Linked DNA regions of Canis lupus familiaris. The protein of the gene in region 2 purifies or fractionates together with the protein of the main gene of each other region. This does not show direct contact. Links are inferred from orthologs where the notes say so. Each region holds a gene or a part of one and is shown on either strand. Other genes may lie near its edges. The genes, in order: CDKN2A, TOP1, PCNA and CHD4.

Evidence for each region.
Region 1: the proteins of TOP1 (region 2) and CDKN2A purify together in Homo sapiens (affinity purification with western blotting; 3 studies listed by BioGRID). This does not show direct contact. The link is inferred for Canis lupus familiaris from reciprocal best matches to the Homo sapiens genes TOP1 and CDKN2A.
Region 3: the proteins of TOP1 (region 2) and PCNA purify together in Homo sapiens (affinity purification with western blotting; 3 studies listed by BioGRID and IntAct, with this or other methods). This does not show direct contact. The link is inferred for Canis lupus familiaris from reciprocal best matches to the Homo sapiens genes TOP1 and PCNA.
Region 4: the proteins of TOP1 (region 2) and CHD4 purify together in Homo sapiens (affinity purification with mass spectrometry; 3 studies listed by BioGRID and IntAct, with this or other methods). This does not show direct contact. The link is inferred for Canis lupus familiaris from reciprocal best matches to the Homo sapiens genes TOP1 and CHD4.

The regions. Positions count from the first base shown.
Region 1 is NC_049232.1:41,339,923-41,344,493, reverse strand, and holds the start of CDKN2A (cyclin-dependent kinase inhibitor 2A), read left to right. Parts: upstream 1-1,665; 5' UTR 1,666-1,677; coding exon 1,678-1,803; intron 1,804-4,571. UniProt on the Homo sapiens protein: Acts as a negative regulator of the proliferation of normal cells by interacting strongly with CDK4 and CDK6. This inhibits their ability to interact with cyclins D and to phosphorylate the retinoblastoma protein.
Region 2 is NC_049245.1:29,648,813-29,653,268, forward strand, and holds the start of TOP1 (DNA topoisomerase 1), read left to right. Parts: upstream 1-1,404; 5' UTR 1,405-1,668; coding exon 1,669-1,701; intron 1,702-2,049; coding exon 2,050-2,074; intron 2,075-4,456. UniProt on the Homo sapiens protein: Releases the supercoiling and torsional tension of DNA introduced during the DNA replication and transcription by transiently cleaving and rejoining one strand of the DNA duplex.
Region 3 is NC_049245.1:16,928,550-16,932,695, forward strand, and holds the start of PCNA (proliferating cell nuclear antigen), read left to right. Parts: upstream 1-1,346; 5' UTR 1,347-1,542; coding exon 1,543-1,763; intron 1,764-2,823; coding exon 2,824-2,921; intron 2,922-3,089; coding exon 3,090-3,157; intron 3,158-4,046; coding exon 4,047-4,146. UniProt on the Homo sapiens protein: Auxiliary protein of DNA polymerase delta and epsilon, is involved in the control of eukaryotic DNA replication by increasing the polymerase's processibility during elongation of the leading strand.
Region 4 is NC_049248.1:7,681,404-7,685,752, reverse strand, and holds the start of CHD4 (chromodomain-helicase-DNA-binding protein 4), read left to right. Parts: upstream 1-1,406; 5' UTR 1,407-1,564; intron 1,565-2,143; exon of another isoform or gene 2,144-2,314; intron 2,315-2,430; 5' UTR 2,431-2,508; coding exon 2,509-2,608; intron 2,609-2,884; exon of another isoform or gene 2,885-3,016; intron 3,017-3,310; exon of another isoform or gene 3,311-3,394; intron 3,395-4,349. UniProt on the Homo sapiens protein: ATP-dependent chromatin-remodeling factor that binds and distorts nucleosomal DNA. Acts as a component of the histone deacetylase NuRD complex which participates in the remodeling of chromatin.

The DNA.
Region 1 (4,571 bases), on a different chromosome or scaffold from region 2:
GTTTGGGAAACCTTCGCCCTCGTCATCCATTTTGCAGGTGTGTGTAGGGGCAACGGCTGCCGGCGGGTCTGCAGACGCCCCCAGATCAGCGTGTGCGAGCGTCTCTGGCCTCGCGGGGCCAGCGCGCCCGTCCGGGTGTAGAACGCTGGGTGGGAAAGGGAAAGTTACCTCTCGGGGCGCCTCGGCGTGACCGCAGGACCCGGCCCCCGCAGGACCCGGCGAGGAACAGCGAGCTGCTGCTTCTGAGTAAAATAGGAAGCAATATTTTGTGACATGAAACACCCTGGTTCGAACTTGCTAGTTAGAAATCCTGTGCGGCTTTAAAATGCGGAGGGTTTGTACAGCGGAGGACGGAAACGAGAGAAATGTCGCTTTAATCGGGTTAACTGGCTCCGAGACCGCGTGCGCCTCCGCTGGGGGGGGGGGGCGATGGGCGGCGGGGGGAGGGGGGTGATGGGAGACCGGGAAGGGGCGGGGGGGGGCGATGGGCGGCGGGGAAGGGCGGGGGGGTGGTAATGGGCGACGGGAAAGGGGCGGGGGGGCGATGGGCGGCGGGGGGAGGGGGTGATGGGCGACGGGGAAGGGCGGGGGGGGGTGGTAATGGGCGACGGGAAAGGGGCGGGGGGGGGGCGATGGACGGCGGGGGGAGGGGGTGATGGGCGACGGGGAAGGGGCGGGGGGAGGTCGATGGGCGGCGGGGGGAGGGGCGGGGCGCCATGGGCGGCGGGGGGAGGGGGCGACGGGCGACGGGGGAGGGGCGGGGGGGCGATGGGCGAGGGGGGCGCAATGGGCGGCGGGGGGAGGAGCGATGGGCGGCGGGGGGAGGGGCGGGGCGCAATGGGCGGCTGGGGGAGGGGCGACGGGGGAGGGGCGGGGGGGGCGACGGGCGACGGGGGAGGGGCGACAGGGGCGCAAGGGGCGGCGGGGGGAGGGGTGATGGGCGGTGGGGGGGGCGGGGCGCAATGGGCGGCCGGGGGAGGGGGCGACGGGCGACGGGGGAGGGGCGGGGGGCGACGGGCGACGGGGGAGGGGCGACAGGGGCGCAATGGGCGGCGGGGGGAGGGGTGATGGGCGGCGGGGGGGGGCGGGGCGCAATGGGCGGCCGGGGGAGGGGGCGACGGGCGACGGGGGAGGGGCGGGGGGCGACGGGCGACGGGGGAGGGGCGACAGGGGCGCAATGGGCGGCGGGGGGGGGGGCGGGGCGCCATGGGCGGCCGGGGGAGGGGGCGACGGGCGACGGGGGAGGGGCGGGGGGCGATGGGCAGCGGGGGGAGGGGCGGGGGGGCAGCGCCCGGCTCGGGGAGCGCAGGCGGGGCGGAGCGCGGAGCGACGCGGCGCGAGGGCAGCTGTGGGGCGGCCCGCGGCTCCCTGCCCCCGCGGCTCGGTCGTGCTCCCCTGGGGGAGCCGTGGAACCGAGACGGCAGAGGCCACGCGTGGGGCGACTCGTTTCGCAGCGAGTTGAGAGCGGAGGGCGCTCTCCTGGATTGAAAGAGTCGGGTTGGAGGAGTCGAGGGGCCGAGTCTGGGGGCCGCTTCCGCCGGCCCCGGAGGAGGGGAGAGGAGGGGAGAGGAGGGGCGGGCGGGTCACGAGAGGCTGGGGCGGGCCGCTGGCGCCCGACGGCCGCGGCGGGAAGGAGGGAGGGAGGGAGGGAGCCGGGGGCCCGCGCTCGGGAGCAGCATGGAGCCCTTCGCCGACTGGCTGGCCTCGGCGGCAGCCCGGGGCCGCGCGGACGAGGTGCGGGCGCTGCTCGCGGCGGGGGCGCCTCCCGACGCGCCGAACCGCCTGGGTCGGAGCCCGATTCAGGTGGGTGAGCGCGCGGGCGGCGGGAGGAGGCGGTGGCGGACGACTGTGCGGCACAGGGTTTGCAAGGGAGTCCTCCAGGTCTGCCGGTCGCTGGTCGGGGACGGGGAGACTCCCTGGTGAGGTCCCAGGTGGTGTCTGGAGCCCGGAGCTTCCAGTGTCCGCGTCCTGGGGGCAGAGGAAGCCGCGGGGGGGGGGGGGGGGGGGGGGGGAGGGGAGATGGGGAGGCACGTGCAGGGCAGATGTCTGGTCTGAGATCGGGAGGGGGGAGCCTGTTCGTGTTAATATAGTCCGAGGTGTGCTCTCCATCTGATACACAGTTACGAACGTAAAGCAAGATTTTAAAGAAATGGAAGATTTGTTGGGCCCACTAGGCCGGAACTCATAGACCCCTGAAGGGAGCGGATCATCTTCTGTGCTAGCGGCGATTGTACTGGAAACCTTCTGCTGTGTAAATTGAATAAATATTCATTGAAATTGTTCAGAAGCAACTGCATGTTGTGTTTATTTTTACTTTAACCGTGTATGGCACATCTGTGCTTGTGAGAATTTAGGGAATACAGACAGACATAGATGAAGAAAAACAGTGTGATCTTGCCTGAGATAATGCCGTCGATTTAGCTACCATTTTGAGGGTACCTCCTATTATTTTTGTTACTTTTGACTTGCTATAGATTAACGCAGTTGAGAGAGTTTTGGATTCCTCACGGTTCAGAAATGTGGTTTCTTCCCTCCTGACTCCGGTTGTGGGTGGGGGTGGGGGTGCTGGGTATTTGCTGTTGTTGTTTGCCTTCACTAAATTCCTAAATCCAGGCTAAAAAAAAAAAAAAAAAAAACCCAAAACCAAAAAACCCTATTTCTCCCTGTTCGTCACCACCCTAGTTTTATTCCCAGTGTTGACAATGATTTTGGATTGTGAAAAATAAAATGTATGTGAAACAAAGGCTCACTGCACAAATTCAAGCATAACAAGACAAAGGAAAGTAACTGTACCTGCAATTGCACAGATTTCACAAGTCATCTTCCTTTCCTGAAACAATGCTACATAGGATAAATTTTATATACCTTAACATACATATATAAAAATAAAAACAAAATGCCTTAAAACTTGAGATTATTTGGGATTTTAAGTGTGAAGGGATTTTGAGAGTAGAGAGGTTGTGTGATGGTAGAAGAAAACCATGAGTCCTTTAAAAAGAATGCATGCATGATTTCTCATTTCTCTAAGATTTTGCTCAGAGACTGAGTGTGGCCTTGAAGTTTGGAATATGTTTGAAGAGACTTTGTTTAAATACAAAAAGAAAAAAGTTGGATAATTAGTTTTAACAATTTTTTTAATAGGGAAAATAAGAACATAGAGAAAAGAGTGCATGGTTTTGGTTTAGAACCCTAACCAACCTTGTGTTTAATACAAAACTAATTAGTTTATAGAAAATTATAATTACTTTAAATATCTTATCAAATGGATTTAAGCACTCTACAAATATTCATTTAATCGATTCTTTTTCTTTCAGCTTTGGATTGCTATTTAGATTTAAGTATTTAAGTGTTAGGTTTCTTTCATACTTTAATACTGCAAAATATAATGAAAACCTTTAAAATCAGTTAAGTGTATGTTACCTTACATGGGAAAAGAGGCTTCGCAGATGTTCCTTGGCTTAGAGAAATAATTATTTACGTTTAATGCAGAATGTAATTAAAAATAATTCCTTTTTATACAGTCACTATAAGTCTAGCTAATATAATCAAATAGTGGTTAGCCTAAAAGAAAATTATCTACCACTGCCATCTGCCATGTAACACTCAAATTGTAAGGTTGCTGTGATTGTAGATACTATTTAAAAAATCCTCTTTGGTAATGACTTTGTTTCAAAGACGATTTATCAAACAAATGAAGGGAGCACCTCCTGTTTAATGAACTCTCAGAGTATATAAACTTGGGAAGTTTCTTAGTTTCCTATTTCTGCTGTAACAAATTACCACAACTTTTGTGTCTCAAACCAACATAAATTTATTATCTTATAGTTCTGGAGGTTGAAGTCTAAAATGGATCCACAATGCTGCATTTCTTTTGGAAGTTCTAGGGGAGAATCTGTTTCCAACTTCTAATGGCCATCAACATTCCTGTGCTCATGGTCCCTGCATCTTCTTCTCTCTGACCTCCATTCTTAGATCTTTCTTCTGTAACCTCATAAGGGAATTTGTGATTACATTGGGCCCATCCTGATAATCCATGTTAATCTCTCTCAAAATCCTTAATTTAATCACATCTGGGAAGCCTCTCTTCCCATGTAAGGTATTATATTCACAGCTTTCAAGTGTTAGGTAGTACACATCTTTGGGGACATTCTTCAGCTCATTATGGGAAGGAATTTGGGGGCTGGTTAGAGAACCCTCATTTTATACTTAGAGTGAATTTTAACATTCTGGTAGGCTAAGTGTATATTAAAAGTTTTTTAGGAATTAAAGATTTGTTGTTGTTTTCACTTTCACTTTTTAACAATTATTATGTCCTGGGCTTGGATATACAACAGAAAACCATACAAAATCTCTGGGCCTTATATAATTTTGTATCAAAATGGGTGGGGGGGCTATAGGAGGTTAGGCTATAGTTCAAGCCAGTTCGTCTCTCACTCTTTTGCTATTGTCATGCCTCTGACAGACAATAGGGTGTGGCTGGAATTCCGCAAAAGTTTGGAGAATATAATGGAATTCAATGTGGACAGAAAAATGGAATAAGCAGAACTGTCTAAGGGAGGTGGTAACTGAAA
Region 2 (4,456 bases):
CATGGAGCCTGCTTCTCTCTCTGTGTCTCATGAATAAATAAATAAAATCTTAAAATAAAATATTAAGTAAAGTAGTGGAAGTGGTAATAGATATGACAAAATTCACAAAGATCACACTTGAATGATGCGGGTTATGTAGCAGGGCTCCCGTAGGTACTTTAAGAATTGTGCACTTTATACCGAGAGTGAAAGCAAGTATTGTGGGAAGGGGATGTTAGGTGGCGTGTTGAAAGGGCACTCCGGCTACTTCTGGCTAGCAGCTCGTGAGAGGGCCAGAATGGAAGCAGGGGCCGTTGTTAGGAGTGCATTGTGATAATCCACGCAAGAGATAACGCAGACTTCGACAGATGCGTGGGCAGAGGAGGTAGATGGGTTGAACAGACGCAATCAACTGGACTAATTTGAAAGGAAGGAGGAAGATGTCCAGGGTGGAGCTTTTCTAGCTGGGTGGAGGTGTTCTCTGAATCCACACGACAGCTCCAGCTCCGTGGAGGCTATTTTATCAAACTGTGTCAGGGTAAGTGACCTACAACCTCCTGCCTGACATCTACATTCGAAGAACTAAAATCTTAGAGATCAGAGCACACAACACAGTCGGCGCCCCATTAACGGCAGTTCTTTTGCCCTGTTTATCCCCAAGGTCCCATTTCCTTTGGCCCTTTGCCACCACCGTTTTTTTCAGCGTGATTCCTGGTTTACGGGAGATGCTCAATGCTACGTTCATCGAACGAACGAACGAATGAAATTAGGGCTTTTGTGACCGGGACTACACGTACCCGGCAGAAAACTGGAGCTAAACCAGACCTTTGGTTGGTTTAAAAAAAATTTTTTTTTTTTTTTTAAGAAGCGGAGTGAAAATAATCCAGCACGTTGGAAGGCCTAGACAAAGGCTAGGGCGGGAGCTCCTGCCTGCAAGGCGGCATCGGGGTCCGCTTCATGAGCGAAAAAGCGCCGGTGAAAGGTCCGGGGCCCCGAGCGCCCACGGCATTTGCAGCGGCGAGCGGGCGGCAGCAGGGCGGCTGCTCGGCCCGGGGCTCCCGCGGTCCCGCCGCGGTCCCGCCGCGGCCTTTAAAGGCCCACCACGTGGCCCGCGCCGCCGGCCGGGGTCCGGGGGCGGCGTCCGGGCTGCGCCTGCGCACTGCCTCGCAGAGGCGTACGGGGTTCCGAGAAACCGCGCGGGGAGAGCCAGGCAAGATCGCCCCGGGGGGCGGCCGTGGGAGGAGTCGGCTGCTTATGCAAATCACGGCGGCGCGCAGGGGCTTGGGGGCGGGGCCTGCGATGCAAAGCCGGGTCCGCCTTGGGAAGCGCAGGAGGGCGGGGGGGGCGGGGGGGGGCGGGCCGCGCAGCCCTCGGCCTCTTTCCGCGAGTCTCTGACGTCGCCGACGTCTCGTTTAAAAGCGGCCGCGCAGGCGCAGTGAGGCGAAATGCGAACTTAGGCTGTTACACAACTGCTGGGGTCCGCTCTCGCCGCCCGCCCGGCAGTCAGTCCGCGTCGCCGCCGCCGTCGCCGCCTCAGCCGTTCGGGGAGCGTCGGGCCCGCAGCCGCCGCCGCTTCTCCGCGCCTCCGGGAGCCTCCGGGGGCCCCCGTCCGCCCGCACAGGCCGGCCCCGACCGTCTGCGTCTCCTCGGCGCCCTTCGCCGCCCGCCGCGCTCGCCGCTCCGGCCGACATGAGTGGGGACCATCTGCACAACGATTCCCAGGTACGGCTCGGCCGGGTCCTCCTGGCGCCCCGGCCCCGCCCCGCGACCCCCCGCGACCCCCGCGACCCCCGGCGCGGGCCCGGCCGCCTTGACAGGCCGGAGCCCCCGGCCAGGGGCGGGCGGCCGGCGGGGCTGGGCGCGCTAGGCCGCGGGCGGAAGCCGCCGAGTTAGGGACGGCGGGGGGCTGCCCCTTACGGCCGACCCCGGGGCCCCTCCCTCCTCCTCCTCCTCCTCATCCTCATCCTCATCCTCGGGCGCGGGCTGGGCTAGGCCCCCGGCCCCGCGCGCTCGCCGCCCGCGGGCCGGGGGGAGCCCGTTTGTTCATACTGCCTCCTTTTCTCCCTCCAGATTGAAGCGGATTTCCGACTGAATGGTGAGTGTGCCCCCCGCCCCGACCCCGGGGGCCCCGGCGCCGGCCGCCCAGCCCGCGCCGGGCCGGAGCCGGGCAGAGGACAGACATGGCGTCCCAGAGACTAAGTCCCGGCTCCTCGCTCACCGGCCCCATTGTTCCCATCGGGCCGCCTCTGGACCCCCTTTCCGGGGACCCCAGCCCCCCCAGACCGCGGCCTTCCCAAGAGGGGGCAACGGAGACCCGGGGTCGCCCGCCGCCGGCCTTCGGGCAGCCTTTGTCGGCCCGGATTCCTCCCGGGAAAGTCGCCTTGTCGACAGTCGGGACTTAGTCTCTGCGCCATTTTCTTTTTCTCCTCTCCTTTCTGTGCCTGTGTGTCTCTTTCTCTCCCTCCCTCGGCTCCTTCCTTGAGCTGCCCAGAAAGAGCTTTCTGCAGAGCAAAGCCGTGGAAATCACAGACCTCACCGGGGAGGGAAGGGTGGGAGACTGAATGGCTACTATTTTTTTTCCCCAAGGAGAACTTTATTTTGGGGGGTTATTGCCTTTCTGCTTCTCGTTTGTTTCCTTTTCTGTTTCCAGAATGAAAGCTACCCTTCGGCAACTGTTGATTTGGGGGGCGGAGGGGGGCGGGCGGCGGCGGCGGTGGTGGCGGCGGCGGTGGTGGTGGGGGGGAGGAGAAGGTGAAGGGTGGGGGTGTAAGAATTTTATGATGGGAATTACGGTCCTAAAACTAAAGCCACCCTTTGTGGAGTTTTTCATATTTTGAGGTTGTTTTTCCCCCAAGTTGTGTTCTTTGCAAAGGTAGTACTAGTACCTCCCTTCACAAAGTTTGCAAGTTCTCCGTGGGCCCCTCCAAAGTAAACGTTGGACTCGGGCATATAGATTTAAAAAAAAAATTTTTTTTAAGTATTTCTGACTAGAACTTTTCGTGATGGCTGAGGTTCCTAATGCAGTGTTTTGTTTCTCTTTTCTTGGTTTTTGTTGTTGGGTTTTTTTTTTTTTTTGGCTTTTTTGTTTTTATTTTATTTTATTTATTTATTTATTTTTAAGAACCTCAGTTTAGTGTACTTGTCAGGAGAAAAGGTTGTGGAGCATCTCATCTGGACCTGGTGTGTTGGCCTTTTCTTTCGGGCCATGGGAAAGAAAAAAAGATTTTATTTATTGAAACAAAGAGTAGTCCGCATCCACCCTTGTTTCCTGTTCTTTTTTCAGGAGCCGCTGTTTTTCAGGAACCAAGAGCTAGCTTGCTTTTCCTAGATCTTTATGCTTTTGACCCCTTTTCAGCCATATCAAGGCATTTATTCTTTGAGTATTTCCACTTCAGTTATTCAATGAAGATTCCCCCAATAAAAAGCTCACCCTGCGGGCTTTTCAACAATCTTATTGAAGGAGAAGGTACCCTCTGTTGTGTGCTGGGAATTCCCACTGATTCTGATGGTACATAATCCTGCTCAATTGAGTTCGGGTTCCGGGAACCTCTCCAATGGGAGAAGCTGATGAGTAGATTTTCTGATGTTGTAATCAGCAGTCCATCGTGTTAGCCTGCTCTATTGAGAGCAGCCTTATGTTCAGATTTGTAGTGGGGCATCTAGCAAGAGATGTGATTCTGCAAGGAAGGGTTGTAGGTTAAATTAAAGTAGCATTTCTTGAGCACCTAATATGTGCGAAACACTGTGTAATGCTAGATCTGAACCTTGGGTCACAATGCTTCTCTCGCCCTCAATCCCGTCTGCTGGGAGAGACATAATTAGTTAATTATAAGGTAGGTGCGGAGGTATATGTATACTCAAAATGCTTTGAGAAACTAGGAGAATTAATTTTGTCTGGGGGTGGGGAAATTTCTTAGAGGAGGTGACTTCTGAGCTGAGTGTTGTGCAAGACTAGGTGCTGAGTGTCAGGGGTTGGAGTATTTCTTAACTAGTGTTTAGCTAACCTATCAGGATTTTGAAGGGGCGAGGAGTCCTCTGCAGTTCAGAAAACCGCAGAGGTATAAATGTTTCCTTGGGATGTGGAAGCAAAGAAAGGATGTGGCAGATGAGGATGTAAGGAGTCCTTTTGACCTCTCTTGGAGGAAGGTAGGAGCTTAACACAGAAAAAAGTGTTCTTTTGACTTTAAGATTGGGCTGAGTAGGTTGTGTATTTAGCAATGAAGCAAAGTTTAGTCCTTTCTCCTCAGAAAGTTAATCTCCATGGATCTCACTTAAATTATGCAAAGGAACGATTGAATATGTGATGATTGTGGGCTGGGTAAATTATTGATCTTTAATGCCATTTTTATAGATACCAAAGGAAACTGAGTATATTGACTTTTAGAATGTGATCACTTGTGATTGCAGTAATTGTTCATATTTATTGAATGCTTACTGTCTGCCTGGCATGACGGATCTCAGCTCTTTTCATGGATCA
Region 3 (4,146 bases), about 13 Mb from region 2:
GATCCCTGGGTGGCACAGCGGTTTGGCGCCTGCCTTTGGCCCAGGGCGGGATCCTGGAGACCCGGGATCGAATCCCATGTCGGGCTCCCTGCATGGAGCCTGCTTCTCCCTCTGCCTATGTCTCTGCCTCTCTCTCTCTCACTGTGTGCCTATCATAAATAAATAAATAAATACATAAATAAAATTAAAAAAAAGAACCTGTTTAAAAAAAAAAAAAGGGGGGGGGGTGGGGGAAAAAAGGTGGGGGGAGGGGACGCCTAGGTGGCTCAGCGGTTTAGCGCCGCCTTCAGCCCAGGGTGTGATCCTGGAGTCCCGGGATCGAGTCCCACGTCGGGCTCCCTGCATGGAGCCTGCTTCTCCCTCTGCCTGTGTCTCTGCCTCTCTCTGTCTCTGTGTGTCTCTCACGAATATCTTAAAAAAAAAAAAAAAAAAATTTACAAATGGGGACACCTGAGTGGCTCAGTGGTTGAACATCTGCCTTTGGCTCAGGGCCTGATCCCGGGGTCCTGGGATTGAGTCCTGCATCAGGCTCTGTGCAGGGAACCTGCTTCTCCCTCTACCTACGTCTCTGCCTCTCTGTATCTCTCATGAGTAAATAAAATATTTAAAATCTTATTTATTTGAGAGAGAAAACATATTGGGGAGGGGCAGAGGGAGAAGGAGAGGTAGAAGCAGACTCCTCCCGGAGCCAGGAGCCAACCTTGGATCTAGATCTCAGGACCCTGGGGTCATGACCTGAGCCAAAGGCAGAGGCTCCACTGACTGAACCACCCACGTGCCCCCTGTAACAAGTTTTTAATATGCAGATCAGAATTTTCACGCAAATAAGCTTAGATTTTTAAAACAAGATTGCTGATATCTGTATTTAGGAAAATATTGTAGATTGCAATCTTTCAGTGGTCAGCTTAGCAACATTTATCAACACATCACTTCTACGATAGCAAAAATAAAATGCACTTTTAAAACAGCTGTATTCCTCGGGCCGCCAGGCGTCTTCCTCCCGGTGGGCTGGATTTGCCTTTCACTTTCACGGCCAAAGCCTTTCTAGTCCTGAAGCGGGAGGTTGAGGAGGCAGCACAAGGCTGTAACTCAAAGAACCCCAACCTGGGTCTGGCCGTCACAAGCCCAGACTTGTTCAGCGCCCGGCGTCGCGAGCGGGGTGGAGAAGGCAGTCCCGCGGGAGGCGGAGGCGCCCCGCTCCTGCCCCGCCCCTGCCCCGCCCCTGCGGCCGACCCTTCAGTGGACGTTCAGGGAGGACGGGCTGGAGCGGAGGCCAAGGACACTATTGGCCCCGGAGTCCGTCCGCCAGGGAGTGGGCGGGGCAACGTGGTGACGCGCCACGCGCGGCGCAGAGGCGGAGCGCGCGCGCCAGCAGACGCGGCGCTATTAAACGGTTGCAGGCGGAGCGGGCGGGCGGTGATCGTCCCGGCTCCCCGGCCCTCGCCGCTGCGTTCGCCAGCTCGCTCGTACCCCGTGACGCCAAGCCGGCTACAACTTCCTCTTCGTCTCCGCCTGCAGCTGTGTCGTTGTGACTCTGCCACCATGTTCGAGGCGCGCCTGGTCCAGGGCTCCATCCTGAAGAAGGTGCTGGAGGCGCTTAAGGATCTCATCAACGAGGCCTGCTGGGACATCAGCTCGAGCGGCGTAAACCTGCAGAGCATGGACTCCTCCCACGTCTCCCTGGTGCAGCTCACTCTGCGCTCCGAGGGCTTCGACACGTACCGCTGCGACCGCAACTTGGCCATGGGTGTGAACCTCACCAGGTGAGCCCCTGGGGTCGCCAAGGGCCGGGCTCTCTCGCACCCCCACCTCCGGCTCTTGGCGGGAGCGCCTGCGAGCTAGGTCCTCATTGGCTGGCGTGGGCGACCCGCGCCTTCTCATTGGCCTGCGGCGCCCAGGGGCGGGATCTAGCGGAGCGCGCGGTTCCGAAAGCCCGCGCTGGCAGCCGCGCGAACCGGCGTTTTCCGCGCCAAAGTCACAAAGCGGGTGGTGGCGGGAAAATGACGGGCTTCTTCGTGGTGCCGGGAAAAGACTTACACAGCACCTTGGCCACTAAGTGCCGGCGGCCTTGGATGAGAACCCTTTGGCTTGACTGCCTTTAACCGCTTTATAATGTGCCCGAGTTACGTCACCCTACCTAGGGACCATCGGTTGATTCTGGTCCTTTATTATTAGGAAGTTGCAGTGAGCACCCTAAGTTCCTGGACTTAAAATTTCTCCAGGGCAGTGGCTTTCAACTCTTTGATCACTACATGTCTAGTACATGAACATGTTTAAAGATTTTATTTATTCGTGAGAGACGCAGGCAGAGGGAGAAGCAGGCTCCCTCAGGCTCCACATAGGGAGCTCTATGTGGGACTCCATCCCAGGACCCCGGGATCACGACGTGAGCCAAAGGCAGGCGCTCAACCACTGAGCCACCCCGCCTTCCAAAAACATGTTCAAATATGAGGCTTATGAGAAATAGTTGACCTCGACTGCATGCAGTGTGTATTAATAAGTATCTTAGCTCATTTTTCTTGACCGTCAGGACCCAATAATTTGCTTCGCGCACCAAAGGGATTTGCAATTTGCAATGCGTGAAATGCTGCTCTTTTATTTGTATCTAGAAGTGAAATTGCTCATGGTAGGCTGTGTGCCTGTTTAAGAATAAATACTGCCAAATTGGGTTACAAAATGGCCGGATTAGTTTACCTCACTCACCAATTCCTCAGACGACCTTGGTAAATAAAGATGGTAACTCCTTGTTTTAATTGGGTCAGAAATCTTAACGATTCTGAGAACGTTGTGGCAATTTTAAATCCTGTGTCTTCCGTGTTCTAGCATGTCCAAAATACTAAAATGTGCTGGCAATGAAGACATCATTACACTAAGGGCTGAAGATAATGCGGACACCTTGGCACTAGTATTTGAAGCTCCAAGTAGGTGATACTCTTCTACTAAATTATATTAGAGGAAATTTAAATGCAGTGTAAAAGATTTCTCTTAGTTGTGAAAAACTTAAGAAAATGTTCCTAATGATTGTAAAGCTTATTAATGGCATAGTTATAAACTTACATACTTTTCTTCAATCTGCTTTCTTTTGGTAGATCAAGAAAAAGTTTCAGACTATGAAATGAAGTTAATGGATTTAGATGTTGAACAACTTGGAATTCCAGTGAGTATTAAGAGTAGACTTTAAAGCAGTGTTAGGGGATCCCTGGGTGGCTCAGCGGTTTGGCACCTGCCTTCCGCCAGGGGCATAATCCTGGAGTCCCAGGATTGAGGCTCCCTGCATGGAGCTTGCTTCTCCCTCTTCTTGTGTCTCTGCCTCTCTCTCTGTCTCTGTGTCTTTCATGAATAAATAAATAAAATCTTAAAAATAAAAATAAAGCTGTGTTAGCAGAAATTCATTCAGGTGAGGTTTATCAACATAAGAAATGTTGAGATGTTTAAAATCCTTACTATCTTATCTTCTTGTTTTGTTTTGGTAAGCAGTTGGGCCTGCTTGCACACGCATCATCATTTGTAGGCCATACCCTAATGTCCTCTTGATTTAGCCCTGGAGGGGGATTTAGGGGGAGGCTCTTTTCTCCTGGATAGTGCATTTATCATTAAAGATTTAAACTTTAATTTTAGTTTTCTTAGTATGATTATTCTTATGACATATTGTTTTAAAAATTTTTTTTTAATTTTTATTTATTTATGATAGTCACAGAGAGAGAGAGAGAGAGAGAGAGAGAGAGGCAGAGACACAGGCAGAGGGAGAAGCAGGCTCCATGCACCGGGAGCCTGATGTGGGATTCGATCCCGGGTCTCCAGGATCGCGCCCTGGGCCAAAGGCAGGCGCCAAACTGCTGCGCCACCCAGGGATCCCCATACTTGTTTTATATCTGCATTTATTTTTTGAGTTAGAGATTATGTTATGGAAATACACAATGAGTGATATTTTAAAGTAATCAGAAAACCTTAAATTCTGAATTCTTGTCTAAATGCTGAGGCTTCAGAAAAATGAGAATGCCAAATTTAGTTTCCAGCAAGTGAACTCTAATTTTTCATTTTAACAGGAACAAGAATATAGCTGTGTGGTAAAGATGCCTTCTGGAGAATTTGCACGTATATGCCGAGATCTGAGTCACATCGGAGATGCTGTTGTAATTTCCTGCG
Region 4 (4,349 bases), on a different chromosome or scaffold from region 2:
AGATTGGAGTTTATTATGACTAGGGGAAGCTGTGGGGTGAATTAAACTTTATGTAAATGGTTCATCTGGTCAGCCTGGTATTTGGCTGGTCTTACTCAATATTTAAGAGCTGGAGCTGGAGGTAAGCATCTGGAGAATAACTGGATTTGGGTGGGATTGGGTGGGGCCCTAGGTTGACTGGCAGTTCCTGAGAGTCTAGAAATGGTCTGAGGGAAGGTAGGGCTTGCCCTAGACATCAAGAGGTTTTATGCCAGGATACTGCTTTGGCCCAGAAAGGGATAAAGGTATGTACAAGTTGGGGTGGGCACAGGGCAGTGCGGGTAGCAGCCTGCTTCACAACCTTGTGGCTCTGGGTGTTAGAATAGACCTGATGGCCTGAGGAGGTGGGGGAGGTATGAATGTGAATATTATGGGATGCCTGGCTGGAAAGGTATAGGGGTGGTGGCTGGCGATGAAGCATTATGGGATGTGCTGGGAGTATTAGAGTATGTCTGGTGGACCTCGGGCTCCTTGACATTATTATGGGATATCAAGGTGTGGGTGGGAGAGTAAAATTATGGGATATCTTTCCAGCGTTAGAGGAAAGGAGATTGGATGTCCATCTGTAGGGTGACAGTGGGGCTGCCGATCATTAGAGGATATCTCTTTGACAGAGAAGAGGTTACTATGGGCTGTGGAGTTAGAACGCATGTATGAAGGCTGAGGGTGGTGGTGTGAGGATCTAGACCCTAGTCTGCAGGGGCTGAGGGCAGCTCAGGCTAGGGGGTTGGTTATTATGGGATGTCAGTGTAAAAGTGGGAAACTGATTATTACGGGATGTGTGTGGGAGGAGGCCGAAGTGTCCGTTGTAGTACTGGGGGGGGGGGGGCGTTGTTTCTGACTATTATGGGATATCAAACTGGGGGTGGATGAAGAGTGGTTATTATGGGATGTCTGTGGGGGATGGGGAATGAGTATTATGGGCTGTGAGGCTTAAGTGCTGGGAGGGGTGCTTATTATGGGATGGCCATGGGGAAGGAGAGGTGACGAATTATTATGGGATGTTAGCATTAGGGCCAAGAGTGAAGAAGTTGGCAAAGGATGGCTATTATGGGATGTCTGAGGTGGGGAAAGGGTTAGTTGCAAAGGTCTGCAATATTATGATATGTCAACAACCTTAGCATATAGGTGTATGGAGTGTATGTGTGTGTGGGGTGGTGGTGGTGGGGTGTCCGTGTGTATTATGGGATGGCCGGAGGTGGGTGGTTGCCCGGGTGACACGCGCGCGCGCGCTCGAAGGGGGCGTGGCCAATGGTTGCCGGAGCGACGAGGGGGCGGGGGTTGCCCGGGAGACCTAAGGAGGAGGGTGGCGGTAGTGGAGGGGGGGTTGGAGTTGGTTGAGGTTATTATGGGCTGTCCGTGGGGGGGCGGGGCCTGTGCGGTGGGATTTCCCGGCCGGTGTTTCGGGCCCTTTAAGAGGCGACGCCGGAGCCGGAGCCATTTTCCCCCCTTCGGCCGCGGCGAGGAGGAGCCGGAGCGGGAGTGACACCGGGCCGGACCCAGCGCGACCTGCGGCGGCTCCGGGGTGAGGAGAGCGCGGGGTTCCTAAAGAGACGCCCCTCTGAGCCTGACCAGCCCCCAAGCTCATCCCTCCATCCACCCCTTCCTCAGATGTCCCGGACTCGCGGACCGCCCCCTGCCCAGAGGAGCCGACCCTTCCTTTTCCTTGCCTGCAGGGCGCCCTGCCCCCCCCGCCCCCGCCCTGAGCCGGCCCGAGTCCTGCCCCCCGCGGCTCCCACCTCGGGCTGGGTCTCCCACAATGCCCGGCGCCCGCCCCCTCGCCCTTTGCTCACTTGCCCCCCGGGACACGTGGCCCGGCCCCCTGCCCGGTGGGCGCTCCCTCGCCCCCCGCGTCCCAGCCTCCAGCCCCCTGGAGCGCCCGAGCCTCCACGCCCCCTCGGCCCCGTGGCTCCTCCGGAGAACCTGAGTTGTCCCAGAGGACAGCCTTTGGAGAGCTGCCCTGTCTGGGGACTGGCCCCTCCCCAGGCGCAGGGAGGCGCCCCCCCACCCCCAAGTGACCTTGTGTCCCCGAGCGCCTCGCTGCCTGCCGCCTCCCCCGACCCCCCCGCGCCGCGGCCACTCGGACCCCCCTCCCCCGACATACCCTGCTCGGTCCAGCCTGGTTTCTCCCCCTCCCCACGCCTGCACCAGCCTGCCCTCGGGGGCGTCGCTCCCGCTCATCTGGGGGGCTCCAGTTGGGGAGCCGGCTTCCGGGCTGCCCTCGAGGAGTGTGGAACTAAGTTCAGCCTGAGTGGTTCGGGTGCCCTGCTAGGGTGGCTGGGGTTGGGGGGGCCGCTTTGGTGGTGGGCGGAAAGAGCGGGTGGGTGTGGGGGAGGGGGACAGTGCGCGTCACTGACTGTTCTCTCTTTCTTCCCCCCCTCCCCCGCACAGTGACTCGGGCCAGTGTAGAGGGCCCCAGGCCGCAGGCAGGAGCAGCTGGGCCAATTCCCTGGCCGGGAGCGGAAGGGGATGGCGTCGGGCCTGGGCTCCCCGTCCCCCTGCTCCGCGGGCAGCGAGGAGGAAGATATGGATGCACTTTTGAACAACAGCCTGCCCCCACCCCACCCAGGTAAATCTTCCCCAAGGGCCCTGGGCAGGAAGGAGGCATTTGGGCCCTCCCTAGCGACTCTGGTGAGGCAAGGTTGAGTTTCTCTCTCTCCGTGCAGAGTCTGAGGTGGAGGGCATCCGAAGGGAGTGGTTCCCTTCTGCGGAGCTCTTGTGGGAGGGGGTGGAAGCCATGTGCCTCCTGGGCTCTGGGACCGAGATGCAAGCTTGCTGCACTGTCTGTTTTAAGGAATGCTATGCAGTTCCCAGTTGAGGGAGCCCTCTGGTCTGGAGACCTTACCTTGTGTGGGTCCACGGAGGAATGCAGGTGGCTGGGACCCGTTGGAGGCGGGGTGGGGGTTCGGGTGGGTGTCGAGGATTGCATGTTGAAGACCAGCCCGGCATCTGTGTTAGCAGGATCCTGTGGTTGCTGCTGTGGAAAGGAGAGAGGGAGTGCTGGTTACTCTCTATCTGATTATTTTTAGCTTCTGATCAGTTACCGGTTTTCTGTGATGTCTCAACTGTGAAGTTTGAATTGCGCTCCTCAGCTGGGATGTAGAGAGCTTTTAGCAGGCAGATTGCTGGAATGTTTCAAATGGGGAAATGATGGGGGCTTGGGGTAGGATGTCACACCCTGAAGGATATACTAGGGAGGGGCAAAAGAAGGGAGGTGACACCCTGGGCAACCCCCCCCCCCCTTCCCATAGCAAATGGACATGATACAGACTTTTTTCCTAGAGGCTTCTGCTTTGGTGCAGGGAGCCTAGGGTTTGGGCTGGTGTCATGAAGTGTTTGTGTAGGTGTGTTGGGGGTTGTTCTGTGTTTGTGGGTGGCTCCTGGGACTGGCCAAACCCGTATGGTTGTAATCATCCTGCCTGATTGGAGAAGCTCTTGTCTCTTCTCAAATGGTGATTGATGTCATGCATCTGAGTGGATGTCTCTCTCTTGTCTGTCTTTCCTTTTTCACAGCCCGTAGCTAAGTCACCTACTTGTTTCCTTGACCTTTTTTTCAAGCTTCTTTTTTTTTTTTTAAATGTCATTTCTTTATCCTTCTGCTTATCTTTATTTTCGCTTTAATTCTGGAGCCTGCTGGTCGTGTTTTTGTTTCCCATCAAACATCTTTCACTTCTGCCTTCTCTCTCCTTAGCTGTAGCAGTAAGTTGAGGTCTGGGAAAGATGTTCCTACATTTTGGTGTTTTCTAAGTTGGAAGTCTTCAAGTCTTAGTTTGAAACTGAGGCCACTTAGTAAAGGGGTCAGTCTTGTTGCTGAGTCTTCAGCTGTTGGGATGAGAAACTTAGGCTCGAGTCTCATCACTGTGTAGACCAAGGTGGCAAATTTCTGTACTGTTGCCCAAGGTGGGGGTGGGGTAGCAGCATTGGTAACATGATCTGACTCTCTCTGTGAGGGGCGAGAGAAGTAGTAGTGCTGTCCAGCCAATGTTGGTTCCACATTTTGGCTTCCCATTGGCCCCTTGGGCTGGGGCTGCCCCTGTGTTGATTGGGAGCAGTGCAGGCTCCCAGGGTGAACTCTGCCCCAAGCTGTAGCATGACCCAGTTTTTCCACTTGCCACACCCCATTCCTGCCCCTTTCCCAAATCTTCTTTTATGTCTCAGCCACTTTGAATGTTGTCTCTGTGCATTATCTGCTTGAGAAGTTTGGGGGTCTTATGTGGATGGGTGTTCCCTTCACCTGCACGGGTTTGTCCTGGTGTCCAGCTTTCACGGAGGTGAGGAAGATGAGGAACTGAGAGATGTGACTTATTAGT